2 linked regions of the Astyanax mexicanus genome follow. The protein of the gene in region 2 interacts with the protein of the main gene of each other region in a pairwise test. Links are inferred from orthologs where the notes say so. Each region holds a gene or a part of one and is shown on either strand. Other genes may lie near its edges.

Evidence for each region.
Region 1: the proteins of ift20 (region 2) and exoc7 interact in binary tests that used the Homo sapiens proteins (3 or more experiments, as listed by UniProt). The two-hybrid records come from large-scale screens. The link is inferred for Astyanax mexicanus from reciprocal best matches to the Homo sapiens genes IFT20 and EXOC7.

Annotation. Positions count from the first base shown.
Region 1 is NC_064422.1:17,965,713-17,973,259, forward strand, and holds the start of exoc7 (exocyst complex component 7), read right to left. Parts: upstream 3,041-7,547; 5' UTR 2,748-3,040; coding exon 2,688-2,747; intron 1,040-2,687; coding exon 974-1,039; intron 28-973; coding exon 1-27. Other genes in the region: tvp23b (Golgi apparatus membrane protein TVP23 homolog B), read right to left, coding at 5,973-5,999, 7,426-7,547. UniProt on the Homo sapiens protein: Component of the exocyst complex involved in the docking of exocytic vesicles with fusion sites on the plasma membrane.
Region 2 is NC_064425.1:16,836,140-16,844,133, forward strand, and holds the start of ift20 (intraflagellar transport protein 20 homolog), read right to left. Parts: upstream 3,066-7,994; 5' UTR 2,936-3,065; intron 919-2,935; 5' UTR 885-918; coding exon 758-884; intron 179-757; coding exon 93-178; intron 17-92; coding exon 1-16. Other genes in the region: cell cycle checkpoint protein RAD1, read left to right, coding at 5,213-5,407, 5,504-5,612, 5,772-6,030, 6,960-7,058, 7,253-7,430. UniProt on the Homo sapiens protein: Part of intraflagellar transport (IFT) particles involved in ciliary process assembly. May play a role in the trafficking of ciliary membrane proteins from the Golgi complex to the cilium.

The sequences.
Region 1 (7,547 bases), on a different chromosome or scaffold from region 2:
GCTCTCAAACGAGGACAGGATGGACACCTGAGTGACAGAAATAAAACTATAGTCGAAAAAAAGTTTGCTAGTAGTTCTAGCTTACTTTCCCGTTCCACCTTAAATAGTGAAACAGATGGCAGGAGCTGCAGCATTTAGGGCGGAAAGGAAAAATAAAATAAAATAAAAGCTAATTTCATCTCCCCATTACAGAAGAATCAAGATATTAGCAATAATAATTAATTTCTTGACCCTTTCTAAATACATACAATGCCCTAAAGTTAACTAGTTAACCAGCAGCTAGGTTACGGAACTTTAGCGCTCCACTGCTATCACATCAGCCTGCAGGCTCACCTAATATCCTGGTAATTAAGCAGTGTTATTAATTAATTTATTGTTATTTATTTATTGTTCATTGACAAACATCATTGTGATATACCAGTGGTTCCCAACTCAATCACTCAGGAACCACATTCTTCCACATTTAGTGGTTTAATGGTTATAACAGTAACACATTAGCAGCTTCAGGACTAGTGTTGGGGACCAGTTTGATATGCAAATTTTGGTATATTATGGAGGCTATCTTCACCTTTATAGGCTATTGTTCACCTTTATATTCACCTTTCCTGTCTTGCCCAACAAATTTAGAATACTGTTTTTTTGTATTATTCAGTTTGTCACCCTAATAACTATAAGAAATTGGTTTATTTCAGAGCAGAATATTTATATAAAAGTCACTTGTGCTGTCCTTCTGATGACATATAGGGTGCTTGTAGGGTTGTCCCAATTCTTAGGGGGAGGATTTCACTCGAAAAGAAGGGGTAGGAGTAAATGGTAGGGCCAAGGGGTGAAATGGGATTGGATGGGTTTAGAATGGGACAACATAAAAGCAGAAAGAATGTTGAGGTGTCCAAATACGTTATTAAGCACAAAATGCAAAAGATAATGTAGCTACAAGACATAAATACACACACACTGTTTCTGAATCTCTTACCATGCCTTTAGTGAGCTGGTCACTCTTTTCCAGATTCTCCCGAATGAAGGACAGAGTTTCCTGCTCCTGCAGTTCAGCACACACACACACACACACACACACACACAAATCAACAAACCATTCTAAATTTATCTTCAATAAACACCAGATACACTGGATTTAGCATAAACTGCAGGAGCAAAATGACCACATGTACAATTCTACTGGACACCACGATACAGAGATTATAGTTAAATTTTGAGAAAATAACCCATCATATATTTATAAAGCTTTAACAACAGAAAACTTTACCTTTTTACAATCAGAACAGGACTGAATACTGAGCAGTAACTTTTTTTCTTATTGTTTTAAAGACGGCACATATGTATAAATATTTAAAAGGCTAAAATCCAGATGAAACAGAAATGATAACAACCATAATCAAGCCCATAACCTTTTGGTCTAAAAATCACGTCAGAACTATTCAGAGATTCCCATTATTTCCATTTGACCTCCTTTAAGCCCTGTCTAAAAATGTATTTTAACATTAAACTTCTATTCCTCTATGTACATTACTATTGTAAGTCACTTTGGACAAAAGTGTCTGCTAAATGTAATGTAATGTAAAGTAATGTAATGTAGTTATATGGAAGACTAAACATCTGAATTGTTGAAATAGCCAAAAGTACACTTTTAATGGCCTTTTCTGTGCACACGCCACAAACAGAGTCGCTTGAGGTATGCTAAGGCACATTTGGACACATTTTAGTATAAGGTGCTGTGGACTGATGAAACTAAAATTGAGTTATTTGGAGGGCGGTCGGTATGCATGGAGGAAAAAGCATAAAATGTGGTGGTGGTTCCATCATGCTGTGGGGCTGTGTGTTCAGTGCAGGTACTGGGAATATTTTTAAAGCTGAGGGTATCATAGATTCAATATCAGTAGATTCTTGAGAATAATGTTGAAAGTCTGTGGCATGATTTAAAGTGGGCTGCTGTTCATGCTCAAACACTATCAAATCTGACTTAACTGAAGATGTTTTGTAAAGAAGAATGATCCAAAATACCTTCAACCAGAAGCCAGACTATTATTGGAAGCTATAGGAGAGTTTAGAGGCTGTTATTTCTGCAAAAGGATGATCTAATAAATAATGATGTAATTTTATGTGCCCACATTTTTGCACCTGTCTAATTTTGTTAAAAAATGATTGCACACTTTCTGTAAATCCTATAAACTTCATTTCACTTCTCAAATATCACTGTGTTCATCTGCTATATGATATACTTAACTGAAATTGCTGATCCAAACAACCAGTTATATTTAGATTTATAAAGGAAACAAAAGGATAAAACACACATTCACACACTGTGCTGTGATACTCTCAGATGTGAATTGGGGATATCAGGAGTTAAAGTGAAAGACAGAGTGCTGTGAGGAATTTAACATATATTTTAAGGGTCTGTAATACACACACTGTCATCATGGGCTCTTTGGGTTAAAGCATAGTGAGTGAATGGCCTGTATTTAGATTAGCTAAAGCTAGATTTATCACAGCAGCTCTGCACTGTAGAGAAGACCACCACACTAAGACCCTACAGCCCCTCAGAATAAACCGTTAACTGTTAACATACATGTGTGTATTAATGCTGTAGAGTGTGTTTACAGCGTGTCAGTGTTAACAGTGTGTAAATAAAGGATGTAACGTTAATTAAGGCTATTGAACCGCAGCCCGACCTGCTTCAGCTTCTCCTCGATCTCCCGCTTCCGCGCGGACGCGTCCTCCGTCGGGATCATCTCCACCCACTCTCACACAGTATAGTTTAATATTAATAATCCGAAATTACTCAGGTTAAACTGATCACATACAGCTTTATATCACCATTCCGCCCTGAGTAACAACACTCAACACCGAGCTCCGCACAAACTAACGACCGGGGAGTCACTATCCACTATATTACAAAATAAAAGCCTTAGATAAAAAAAATAACGTTTTACAACGACAAAATTAACATTAATATTACAAAAAGATCCCACGTTTTAATTTAACCCCAACTGGACACAAAACAGTATGAGTAAGAATCAGAATCTGTAGTTTAAAAGGGTAGAAGAACGGAAACGGAACGGAAATCAGCTGACTATTATCACACCAGTTCAATATACTGACAAACGCTTCGACACTTCAACATAAAAGTCCTCCCTCATCGCCAGTTATTCTATTCAGTTGCGCTGCCTTGTCAACCCGTTCTACACTAGTGTAGTGCATATTAAACCTAACTTTACAAAAACAAAAAAGCACCGTATTACAGCATGTTCCCAGTAGAAGGCCCAGTAGATGTACGTTAGTATATTTGAATAGCATAAATCACTATATTGTGGCGGCTCTGGGTTGTGTGTGTGGCTGCCTGCAGGCATGTTTCTGTTCTCCTGTGTGCGAGGATGACAGGGGTGGGGCATCTCCCTTGGGAGGGGTTATGCAGAGAGGGTGGGCACCACTCTGGATCTGCCATCTGGGAGACACACAGCTGGGTTGGTGGCCTTTGGGCTATTTAGCTCTGTGGTTTTATGGTTTAGCTCTCCTAGTCTTGTTAAAGACTGTGAGTGAGTGATAAGCCAGTTCAATAAAAGGAGCTGTTGAACATTCAGCATGAGTCTCACGGGTCTTCTTTCCCCTTCCACGCCACAATATTATGGCCAATTAATGTCAATAAGAGATCATTATAAAATGCTTTGTGTTGTTTTATAAAATATTTTGTGTATTTTTTTTATTATTATTAATTTCCATTTACACTTTTGTGCAATGACAGTGAGTCCAGGTTGTTTAATCCACACACAAAAACACATTTAATAAATAAATAAAATAAATTCATAAAAAAAAAGGAATATAGAAAAATCGTAGGTTATCGCATGCGCAGTGTCTTCAGAAAGCACGCATCGATGGGTAGCACAACTCGACAGAACACCTGCTTTGACGTTGCTCTGCATAAGCTATGATGTAACAAATATGAACTTTCAGATTTCCACAAACAAATATTATTGGCTTGGTCTCTAATGTTTCTCTACATAAATACTACAATACTTCAGGAATAATAAAATTCGTTTTTATTCTAGGAAAACTGGTATTTCTTAAAAAAAAAAAAACTGTAACAGTGCTAAAGCAATCGTAAGTGAGATTTATACATAATAAAAATTTTAATTATTAACTTATTCTAGACAGAAAGGTGTTTATTAATAATTAAGCTCTTCGTAAAGTTCAGTGCTTTTACCTTATTTTAATTTAAATAGTATATTCCAAAAGTAATCACTTTTAAACTTTTAAAATATAAATATAAATTACTTATACATTAGAATGATTCTCCCAAACAATAAAGAATAAACTGAACTGAAAGAATGCACTGAAATGTAGACAAATCTATTTAATCCAGTTCACTTCAAGAAACATTTCATCACATCTCATCACATTCCACAAATACAGAACTCATACTAACTCATACTGACTGATCTAACAACCTCTCTTATAGATATGATAAACATTCTAACATCTCTACAGAAATGCTCTGAAAAATGTTCTATTCATAGTTCCAGAGTGTCAAAAGGTATTTTACATTAATTCATTTACACAGGTATGTACATGTTTTACACATCAAAGCAAAACATCAGAGGAAAGTATAAAGACATTCGTAGTTAGAGGTGGGCTATATGGCAATAATTTATCATATTATTATTCATTTTGTTATTGTGGTTCACAGCATACTTTATACTGAGCATATTATGGATATCATCAGTGCTTTAAGAAGACTTATAATAATTAATAATGATTAATAATAAATATATCTGTACTCATTATGTGAGAGTAGCAGTTTCAGTCAAAATATCTTCACAAATATTAGTGAAAATCACTCAATATTGTGAATGAACACTTTTGCCATATGGCACACCTCTATTTTTAGTCCCAGTAAATAATAATAAAAAAAAACAGGTTTAAAAGTAACATACACTATCTTGCAAAAACTATTCAACCCCCTTAAAAATCACTAAATTAGTCATATTTGTATATTTGTGTTACATTTTACAAAAAAAAAAAAAAAAAAAAAAAAAATCATGCTGTGTACACATGTTGGTCTGTCAGAAAAACGATTTAGTTTTAGAATATATACTGTCAGAAAAATAACTGCGACAAACAAAATTATTGTCACTGATATGATTATGAATGATGCACTCAAATTTAAAAATAAAAACGTATAATCTCAGAATAATGAACTAACACAAAATGAAATAATAAACAATGATTCAGTATCTGCAAATTGTGTAGTTAGTAAAATAAAATTACTTTTGCTGCTTTTATAGATTTTTCTTATGTAGTTATTATTTTTTCTTATGTAGTTATTTGATTATTCTATACATTTTGTTGACAATTAATTTTTCCATATATTTTCTCATTTTTTTTATACAGAGTGAAAGGCCTGTAGATGACAACAGGGTACTCTGTAAAATACTACATTTAATTTCTAAATTAATAAAGTTAAAACATTTTGTTTTAATTGTTTTAATTTGTTTTAAAATGAAAAAAAAATCTGCATGTAACACTGCCAGGATAAAATTTCAGTTTTAAGTAATATATTTTCCAGGAAAAAAAATTGTGCTAAACACTTTTTAAACGGGTTGAACAGATTTGCAAGTCCCTCTATTCTGTGATATATATTTTCTTACTTAACTAAGTAACAGTGAACATTAAAGAATAGGAGACAGGACATCCCCAAACTTCTGAAGGGTTCTGTTAAGTAACATTACCATTTTATAGGTCCAATATATGTTAATATCCCACAGCATATAAATTAAATGTTAATAAGTTAAAGAAAACTCAAACCATAACGTTAACCAAAACTAGAACAGGTGTGTTTGAAATACTGCAGCATCTGCAGAGCGGAGTCAGCTACACACTAATGTTCGCTTCAGGAAGTCCTTTAACTCCTCCTCCTTTTAAACAGCTGGAGTGACAGTGCAGACTCCTCCTCCTCCCTCTCACGACTCCTCCTGTTTACTCAGAGCCTTCAGTAATAAACATAAACAGCAGAAATATAAATTAGTGCATATTAACAAGCAAGAAAATGAATGACACTGGAATATGATCACTATCAGTAGACTCTGTATTAATAACCTCAGTTGCTTTTCCAAAAGACATTCCCTTGATTATGATTTGTCCCAAAAATCTCTTCATTAGCTTTTTGTATTTTCTGACCACATGGTTCATATTAATAAAAATATGCCAAAAATAAAAATTTGGCCAAATCCCAAATCAATCATTTTGTTAAACGTATTTTGTCTTGCTTTAAATAAAACAATTACAAAACTACAATTTAAAATATTTATTCAATTAATAATTGAAAAGTCATTCTTGTCATTAAGATTTATTAGGCGTGGAATTCCATTTGGTTATTTAACAGGCTCTTTGACCTATCAAACATGAAGGTAATAATAATGTCATAGTTGACCAGTGTAATGTATGTATTTATGGAGCTGATTTTAATGTTGTTGCTGATTTGTGTTTGATCAAGGTAACAATAAAGTATTATGCATATCGTCGCTGTCCAATCAAAAACACTTATGTCCAAAACAGCAACTTTACAGGAGAGAAAAAAACTTGTAAACTTTAAATGGAAGTCAAGGTAAAAAGAGTTTGTTTCAGGTCATTTTAAAGAGTTTCTGTTGGTCCGTTCATCAAGAAATTTTGGCACAGTGTAAGGGACAGCTTGTCTGTTCAAATAATGTAGTAAACTAAAAATCGACAAAAATGGAGATAAGTGTTTTTCACAGGACAGCAGCGATATATCATATGCATGTATATACTGTTTTTTCTGCACTATAATGTGCACTTAAAATCCTTTAATTTCCCAAAAATCAACTATGCACCTTAAAATCTGGTGCACCTTATGTATTAATTTTACCAATCAGGATGTAAGAAGCAGTAAAAGCCACTCCACTGAAGTGCAGTGTTACACAGAGGCTGGAGCAGTATTAGCATTATCCACTAACCGCAGCGCTAGCTCTTTCACCATTTTAAATATGAGAATATCGACCTGTAGTCTGCGTGTTTACTGCATTAAAACTGCTGTATAATAGCACCCTGGCTTACCAGAACACCCAAGGTTCCTCAGTGTGGCGCTATCGGGCGGCATTTACTAGGGCTTTGTGCTGCTACCTGCGTCTAGTGCTGCTGCTAACCGCAGTAAAATATTGGAAATATAAGTTTACTGTAAATAAACGACAGCACTTTACCCACCCACCCACCCATATCTTGTTTTCCAAGATATCCCCTTGAGTAATTAATAATAAACACAGGCTTGTTTGCTCTTGTTTGCTCCTAATAACCTTCTTGCATGTTTTTGGACTTGCTAATCCCCTACTTATCTGTTCTAAAACCTCCTCCTCACCGTGATTGGTCCTAATAACCCCCTCATTCGTTTCTGAGACCCACCTGTTTGAGGAACTGTGTTCCAAAGTAGTTGGTGGCCATGTTCTTCAGATTCGTTCTGGTGCCGACTTTACAGCGAACATATCCATAAAGATTCGCTCCCTGCAGAACCACGCCCATAATTA
Region 2 (7,994 bases):
TTCTAGCTCCTATTGCCTGTGAAACAGTTGTTGAAATTATTTAGCTGTCTGCAAGTTATCATTAAACTGTCATCTTAATGGCACATACGTACCTTCATTTTTTCTTTTTCTGCTTCCTTGGCCAGTTCATCCACCATCTCAATGAGTCCACCCACTATTTTCTGAAACTGGCCAATTTCTGTTTTCCAAGAAATGAAATGAAATCAGTTTAATTAAAGCTGTTATCTGACAAGTGGTGGAGAGTAAGAAAGTGCACATGCAGTTACCCAGTGCAAACACCAAACCTTTCAACATCAGGGCAACAATGTTAAATGTTTGTCTACTTAATTGATTTAATATATGAAAAATATAGATGCATTTTTAAAGACTGTAAGTTTTTATTAAATTTGTAAAAAGTTTGCAAAAAGTCTTTAAAGCCACTTGGTTCTGTCTCATGGTAATTCATTTCCATCAGTGTTCTGTGTTCAGACTTTAAAGTATTTAACAGGTTATTTTACATGGGATGGACAGTAATTCAAATTGAGTATATATCAGAATGTTTCAATAATGGTGATATGATGTTTAAACACTTGTTGATTTCAACAATCATAATTGTTTTTGGGTACCGTTGTGGACATTCTTGGCAGTTTTTCTACTGAACTGATCTAAATTAATTAATACATTGTGATAAATTTGATTGTGTACATTTTGGCCCTTATTAACATGATAATAAAAGTGTTAAAAGTCTGGAAATAAATTATAATACAGCCATACTTACTGTCAACAAATTCTTTGCACTCCTCTTTAAGCTCTGTGGTCTTCTGACCAACATCAGGTTCAAGTATTCGTAGCTTATTAAGTTCATCGAAGTGAAGCCCAGCTTCTGCCAGTGGATCTTTAGCCATGACCTGAGGCCAGCCAATCACTGATTAGGTCCAACTGTTGAGAAGCAACAGAAGATTACAGTCTTTTTAAACTGTGAGTCAGTTGTGAGAATAAATGTAAACTTTTCTTTTCTTTAAGGTTTAAACTGATGATTAAAACAGGACTTAATGAGACATATGGTACAGATCAACTACAGTAGAGAAAAGTAAAAAAGTTAAAAAATAAATAACACTTAGAGACATTTGATCTGATTAGTAACTAATGTTATGGGCAGGTTTAAATCTCTATAACATAAAGTATTATACGAAAAGCCTTTATTAATCCCACAGCAGGTTAATTCACAATGTTACAGCAATGCAAGGGACAGACAGAATTGTCAGGAAAGAGAACAAAAGAGAACATAACAATAATAAAAATTATAGACCTAAAAACAGATTAGATAAAGCATGGTTACCCATCTCTTATGATAGGCAGTGACCAATATTTTTGTAGATAAGCTGACAGTAAATAAATATACAATTCAAGTTCTGACTACCAATAATATAATGAATATAATAAAATATATTTTTATTAGTAATCATTTTTCTGTTACTAATAACTGTGACAATTATAGGCATGTATACACTGAAATACTAGTACTTCAGTGTACTAGTAACATTTTAATTATAGATAAGAGATAGTAAAGGTCATTGTAAATGAATATTGTAAATCAATAGTAACACATGACAGGTCAGAAAAGCTTTATAGATCTATTGATCTGTAGATCTGATATTATTACTAGTAAACATTTCATAGGTGACATCTGAAATAAGTAGATTCTGTATGAGTTAGTAAAATCTGGTGTCATCTTATACTAGGGGTGGGCAATATGAGCCTAAAATTATATCAGGATATTTCAGGATAACATTATTTTTGGGGATATGACAAAACAATAAATAAAATAATAAATTTAAGAATACACTACTGCAAGAAAATTAATATTAAAATGTATTTGCCAATATAATTGTATACCATATGATATGGTGCACCCCTAATTGGCATTTTTACCAGACTGTAATAGAAGTCAATGATGCAACATGTCATAATACTAATAATGCACTCCAAATATCTTCATATATCTAGTAAAATAAATAATATTGGACAGATATAATCTGTCTCTAATAGACTTTATTGGGAAATAAGACCTATGGGAATTTTCCTTTTACTGAAAAAATCACAAAATTGTACCATAATGCCCATATGGCCCTAAAATTAAATAATACAGCTCTGGAAAAAAATAATTGACCACTTAAAAATTATTTTCTTTGATTGATTTTAAAAAAATTAAAACTTCTGGAATATAATCAAGAGGAAGATGGATGAACACAAACCATCAAACCAAACTGAACTGCTTGAATGTTTGCACCAGGAGTGACAAAGTTATCCAAAAGCAGTGTGTAAGAATGGTGGAGGTTTTCTTTAAATTATTTGAGGTCTAAAAGCTCTGCATCTTTTTTGTTAATTCAGTCATTTCTCATTTTCTGCAAATAAATTTTCTAAATGCCAATATTGTTATCTGGAATTTTGGAGAAATGTTGTCTGTAGTTTATAGAATAAAACAACAATGTTCATTTTACTCAAACATTTACCGATAAATAGCAACATCAAAGAAACTAATTCAGAAATTAAAGTAGTCTCTTATTTTTTTCCAGAGCTGTATATCAGGGTATTATCTACCACCTATCTTAGACTATTTGTAGGTTATCTGAGCAGCTGGGTGACATATGGCTGCTGATCAACTGGTGTTGGTATAGTGAGGATTCCTGATCACATTAAAACAGAGTATCTAAACGGAACTGACTAAACTGACAGCCTGTAAAGCTGCAGTTTCTTAGCTCTGCTCTCTGATCCGCCGAGTTTAACATCAGTTTACAGAGCTTCTCTCACAACACAACAACTCAGCTAATCACAACAATCAGCTAGCGGGGTTAGCAACGCAGCTATCGAGTAAACCCACCACAAAAAACACACTGTATTTAACATTATAAACCGCTTTATTTACTATAGAAAGTGAAGGAATCTCCACACATACCCGCTAAGCTGAATTAATGGAGATATGCTGATCTCGCCGGTCTCTTCGCCGTTTTCTCCGCTCGCCGCTTCTCTCGGTTATGTGGCAGAAAGACTCTCCAGATCAGAGATTCTCTACTGAGGAGAATTCCCACTACAGAACGTGTTCCGGGTTCATCACAGCACCAGAGGGCGCTCAAAATCATAGTTTATGTTTAATATGTCTAATAAAAATCATACTAAAAATATGTTAATTTCCTCAATACAGAACCATATTTAAATAATGTTTAACGCCCTTTATTGCCAGTTACAAACCTTTTAAATGTGTTATGGACGTCTTTGTTACCGCATAAGCTTGCTAAACAGTCATCTCACTGTAACTAGAACAGTGCAATGTTTACCCGTAATTTTCAGACCATTTAAGGCTAAATACAATTTCCCCCCACATGCTATAGTAAAGGCCATTTTCGTTTTACATTTCGGCCTTCCATAATCTAAAATTTCACAACAAAAAAAAGAAATGGACCTTTACAAAATTTTAAATCCAAAAAAAGGTAAAAAAAAAAAAAAAAAAAAAAAAGGTAAAATCCAACCTTATAATACTAGATGAAAAATTAAAGAATTGAGTAAAGGTTTATTTTTTCATTTTCCCTAAATTTAAGATTTCTTTTTATTAAACCCATTTCTTTTTATTAAACCAGATGGAAAAAAATGAAATAATGAAAAGTAACGCCCAATTCTTTATTTTTTTTTATTATTTAGCCTTAAACAATCATAAAGTGATCAGCATTACATTGATGCATGCAATTTGTTGTCCAAAAATATTTGTTGTAATAACGTAGAAAATACGGGTACGTTTATTTGCTTGATTAACAAATTTATTCAATTAGTCAATTTACTTTTTACGTTAATGTAATATCCGGGACACGTAGTTAATTAATCATTTTAATTTGAGTTTTTAGCTGTTTAGCTCCATTCACCCCCATTCATTTTGGACTCCCTCGCGGGCTCCCTCTAACGATTTGCACTTATTTTCTGATATAATTAGAAGTGGGCAGGCTCTCCGTAAACCGGCTCTGCTCCAGATGATGAGATTCCGTCCCCGCCCCGAAGAGTCTCTGCCGCTGCCACGGCGACCGGCGGATCAGTGCACTGCCCCGTTAAACCGGGGGCCAAAACAAAACAATAGATTTACGCGTTTAAAAAATGTGTTCCTATAATGTATATAACACTTTATTTTGTACTATAACTCTATTAAATGTCTGTAACACCAATATCCCATAATATATGTTCCCTATTTTACATTGCCCACAGCATTCACACAGTGCTGTGTTCCTGGACATTCAAAAACGTCCCAAAAAAGTATTTATAGACTTAATAGTATTTATACAGATTTATTCAAGGCCTTTATACGTATTCTTTGGGAATCATATCAAATCCATTAAAAGTTTTAGTAGGACTTTTATTATGAAAAGCCTCCCGGTATCTCCAACACTGCAGGGGGCAGTGGAGCTGCTGAGAAAAAACGGAGAAGAAGAACACGAGCAAAACATTCAGCGCCACAAATCAGCCCTCTTACTGAAACTACATGTAGTTTAATACACACTGAGGTAAGATCTAAAACTGGTTATTATTTCGGCACACACACACAGTTGATGCAGATATTTGGTGGAATAACGCTGTTTTTTAATCACAGTTTTCATGCATCCTGAGTTAATCACAATTTCCTTTGGGTTTTTGGCCATTTTTGACAGGCTGCTCAAACTGTTTTAAAAGTTTCCTGAGATCACTTTAGTGTTGCTGTTTAATGTTTAACAAATGTCTAGCTAACATTAGAAGTTAAATAACAATTAACAAAAATGTTTAGCTTGCTACTGCTTTGCTTTTAGTTTTTTTTTTTTATATGAGTAGAAGTAGGTAGCTAACAAGCTAATATTAATGCTTTATGTGTTCGACAGCCCAGTGGGGTGGAGCAGTATGTCTGTGTTAAAAACTGCAATATTATTTTTTTGTATTAATTATCTATTAATAAATAATCTATTTATATCAATAGGGCATTTGTTAATATTGTACAGCTCTAACCTCAACCCCTACATTTAGTGCCAGGAAAACAATTCAGTCTTTAAGCATATTTATATAAATTTCAACAGCCATGTTTTATGGTCCTATTTGATTTACCAAAAATATGCTATTATATGGTAAAATATACTATGGACATAAATATGGACCCTGGACTACAGAGTCTCAGTTTTAACTATCTTCTATAATGTCATTGCAGGTGTTTTCTGTGATCAGAAGAATGCCTTTGTCAACTCAGTCTCAACCAGAGAATGATGAGTACATCCTGATAGCTAGTTTGGATAATGTGAGAAACCTTTCTAACATCTTAAAAGCAATATCCTTCAAAGACCATGCAATATTCAATGCGACGCAGAATGGGTTAAAAGTAACCGTAGAAGACTCCAAATGTCTTCAAGCAAATGCGTTCATTCAGGTCAGTGTTCAGAATGAGACATTAAGAATTCTCAAAAACACTCAGTTTTAAATGCATTTTGACTGTAATTGATTGTGTGGTTTTCTCATCCTGCAGGCAGACATTTTTCAAGAGTTCACACTTAAAGAGGATGTGGTTGGGTTTCAGGTTAACCTAACTGTGCTTCTGGATTGTCTCACCATCTTTGGAGGAAGCACAGTGCCAGGCACGTTTCTATGATAAATAATGATTAGATATAATAATGCACTGTTAGTGTAGTTGCATCACTGATTGAGCTAAAACAACATTAAAAACATATTGTAATTAAACTGTTTATGATTTTATCTTGATGGATCATACATTCTCTCTCTTTAAAAAAATGAAGGAGTGATGACTGCCCTGAAAATGTGCTACAATGGTTATGGCTATCCATTGACCCTGTTCCTGGAGGAAGGAGGAGTGGTTACTGTTTGCAAGATTAACACCCAAGAACCAGAGGAACCCTTAGACTTTGACTTCTGTAGCACCAATGTGACCAACAAGGTCATACTTCAGTCAGACAGCCTGAAAGAGGCTTTCTCAGAACTGGACATGACCAGTGAGATCCTGCAGCTAACAATGTCACCCAGTCACCCCTATTTCAGGTACAGAAACACTATGCCTTGTCTTATTGGCAATGATATTGACCAAGAGTGGGGGACATTTTTGTGTCTTACATACATTCAGCTCGATTCGGACGTGGGCGATTCTGTATCGATTCATAAATGCTAAAAATCGATTTAGACTTGCCAACATGTACGAATTTTGCATGCATGTTCTAAAATACGCATAACATTTGATCTCGCATTTCCCTGATGTTCTCCTTCCCTGTGTGAGTCTGTTTTCTGCCGCTCACGCTGTCAAGCTGGGTTTTTTTTACTACGATCATTAATCCAGCAAGCTACCTATCAAGCCATCCGCTACTTTCCTCCAAACTGTCGATACACCGTCACTATGCTGAAGGCACTTTTTTGTACTAATCATCTGGTTAATTAAAAAAAACTATGCTTTTTTAAGGATATATTATGGATCATTACAGATGCTCTACTTCATTAATATTCATACAATGAGAACAAATAAATCCTGTATAAAAGAAATAGATGCATCAAGACGAATCGAGAAACGTTTTATAATCTAATCGCAGACCTCTGAATTGTATTCAAATCGTAAGGTGCCTAGAGATTCCCACCCCTATTATTGACCTATTATTGATTTTGTTGACAATCTCATTAGGTTAGATTTGTGCATCTGGATAAAAACTAGCCTGTTATCTAATAAACATGTTTACATCATGGAATATTTTGGGCCCTTTAAAAGTAAGTATGGGCACATAAAAAAAAGATAAAATAATAAAAATTATGTTTTTTTCATGTTGCATTATGTTTTTTTATGTTGTATGTATAATAATTAGCCCTGTTTAACTAGTTGTTTTCCAAAGCTTTATCACATTTAAAACACTGCCTAAAACTCAATACCATATTATATTACTAATATCAAACAATATAAATAATTAATTTGATTGTTTTCCCCCCAGATTGTCCACATTTGGAAATTCTGGAAATGCCCATTACGACTATCCCAAAGACTCTGAAATGATGGAGCTGTTCCAGTGTACAAAGACACAAACCAACAGGTAAGAAGACCAAACTTTGTAATGACTAGAAGGTTAATTTCCAAATTAAAATGATCAAATCAGATTTGTTCACAGACATTACAGACAATGTGAATATAGACAAAATTCATGTGACACAATTTTAGTTCCTGTCCTATGACTTTTGGCATTGACGCCGGATAATATCAGTTTGTGTTTTGCTGTTGCTCACTCAGGTACAAGATGTCTCTATTAAAACCCTCCACCAAGGCGTTGGCGCTGTCCTGTAAGGTGTCTGTAAGGACAGACAGTCGAGGCTTCCTCTCATTACAGTACCTTGTGCGGAATGATGATGGACAGATTTGTTTTGTTGAGTATTACTGCTGCCCAGACGAAGAGGCTGATGAAGAATAGACCAACATGAGTTATTTTGCTCATCTTAAAACGTGCTGTTAATTGTTTCCCTTTTCATGTTAAACTGTGTCGTTTAATCAGATTAGTGATCTGATTTGTTCATTGTATTTTATTAAATTCAGTTTCTAAAAAAGAGATAAAGTAACAGAGCTTGTATTTGTTATATAATAAGATTTTGAACTTTATAAATCTTTTTATCAGTTTCTTTAAAGTTGTTAACATGAAGATGATCTGATATGACACATACATTACTGTGTGATATACCATTAAAGGAGTTTGAAATCTCCAGTTGTTGCTCTAGAGTTGTTTATTTTTGGTAGTTTTTTGGTAGGTTTGGTAGATTAACCTGCCAGCTAATACAACAGAGACTTGACCCTTAGGGGACCTTAAATATAAAACTAAGACTTGTTAAAACCAAACAGAACAGAAAAGTGGAAGTTGTTTTGAAAGGTTAAAAGGACAACAACAGAACAACAACAACAACAGCAGCAGCAGCTGAGTTGACACATTTTGTTTTTGACAAATGTGACATTTACATTTAAACCCTTAGGAGACCCTTTTGGT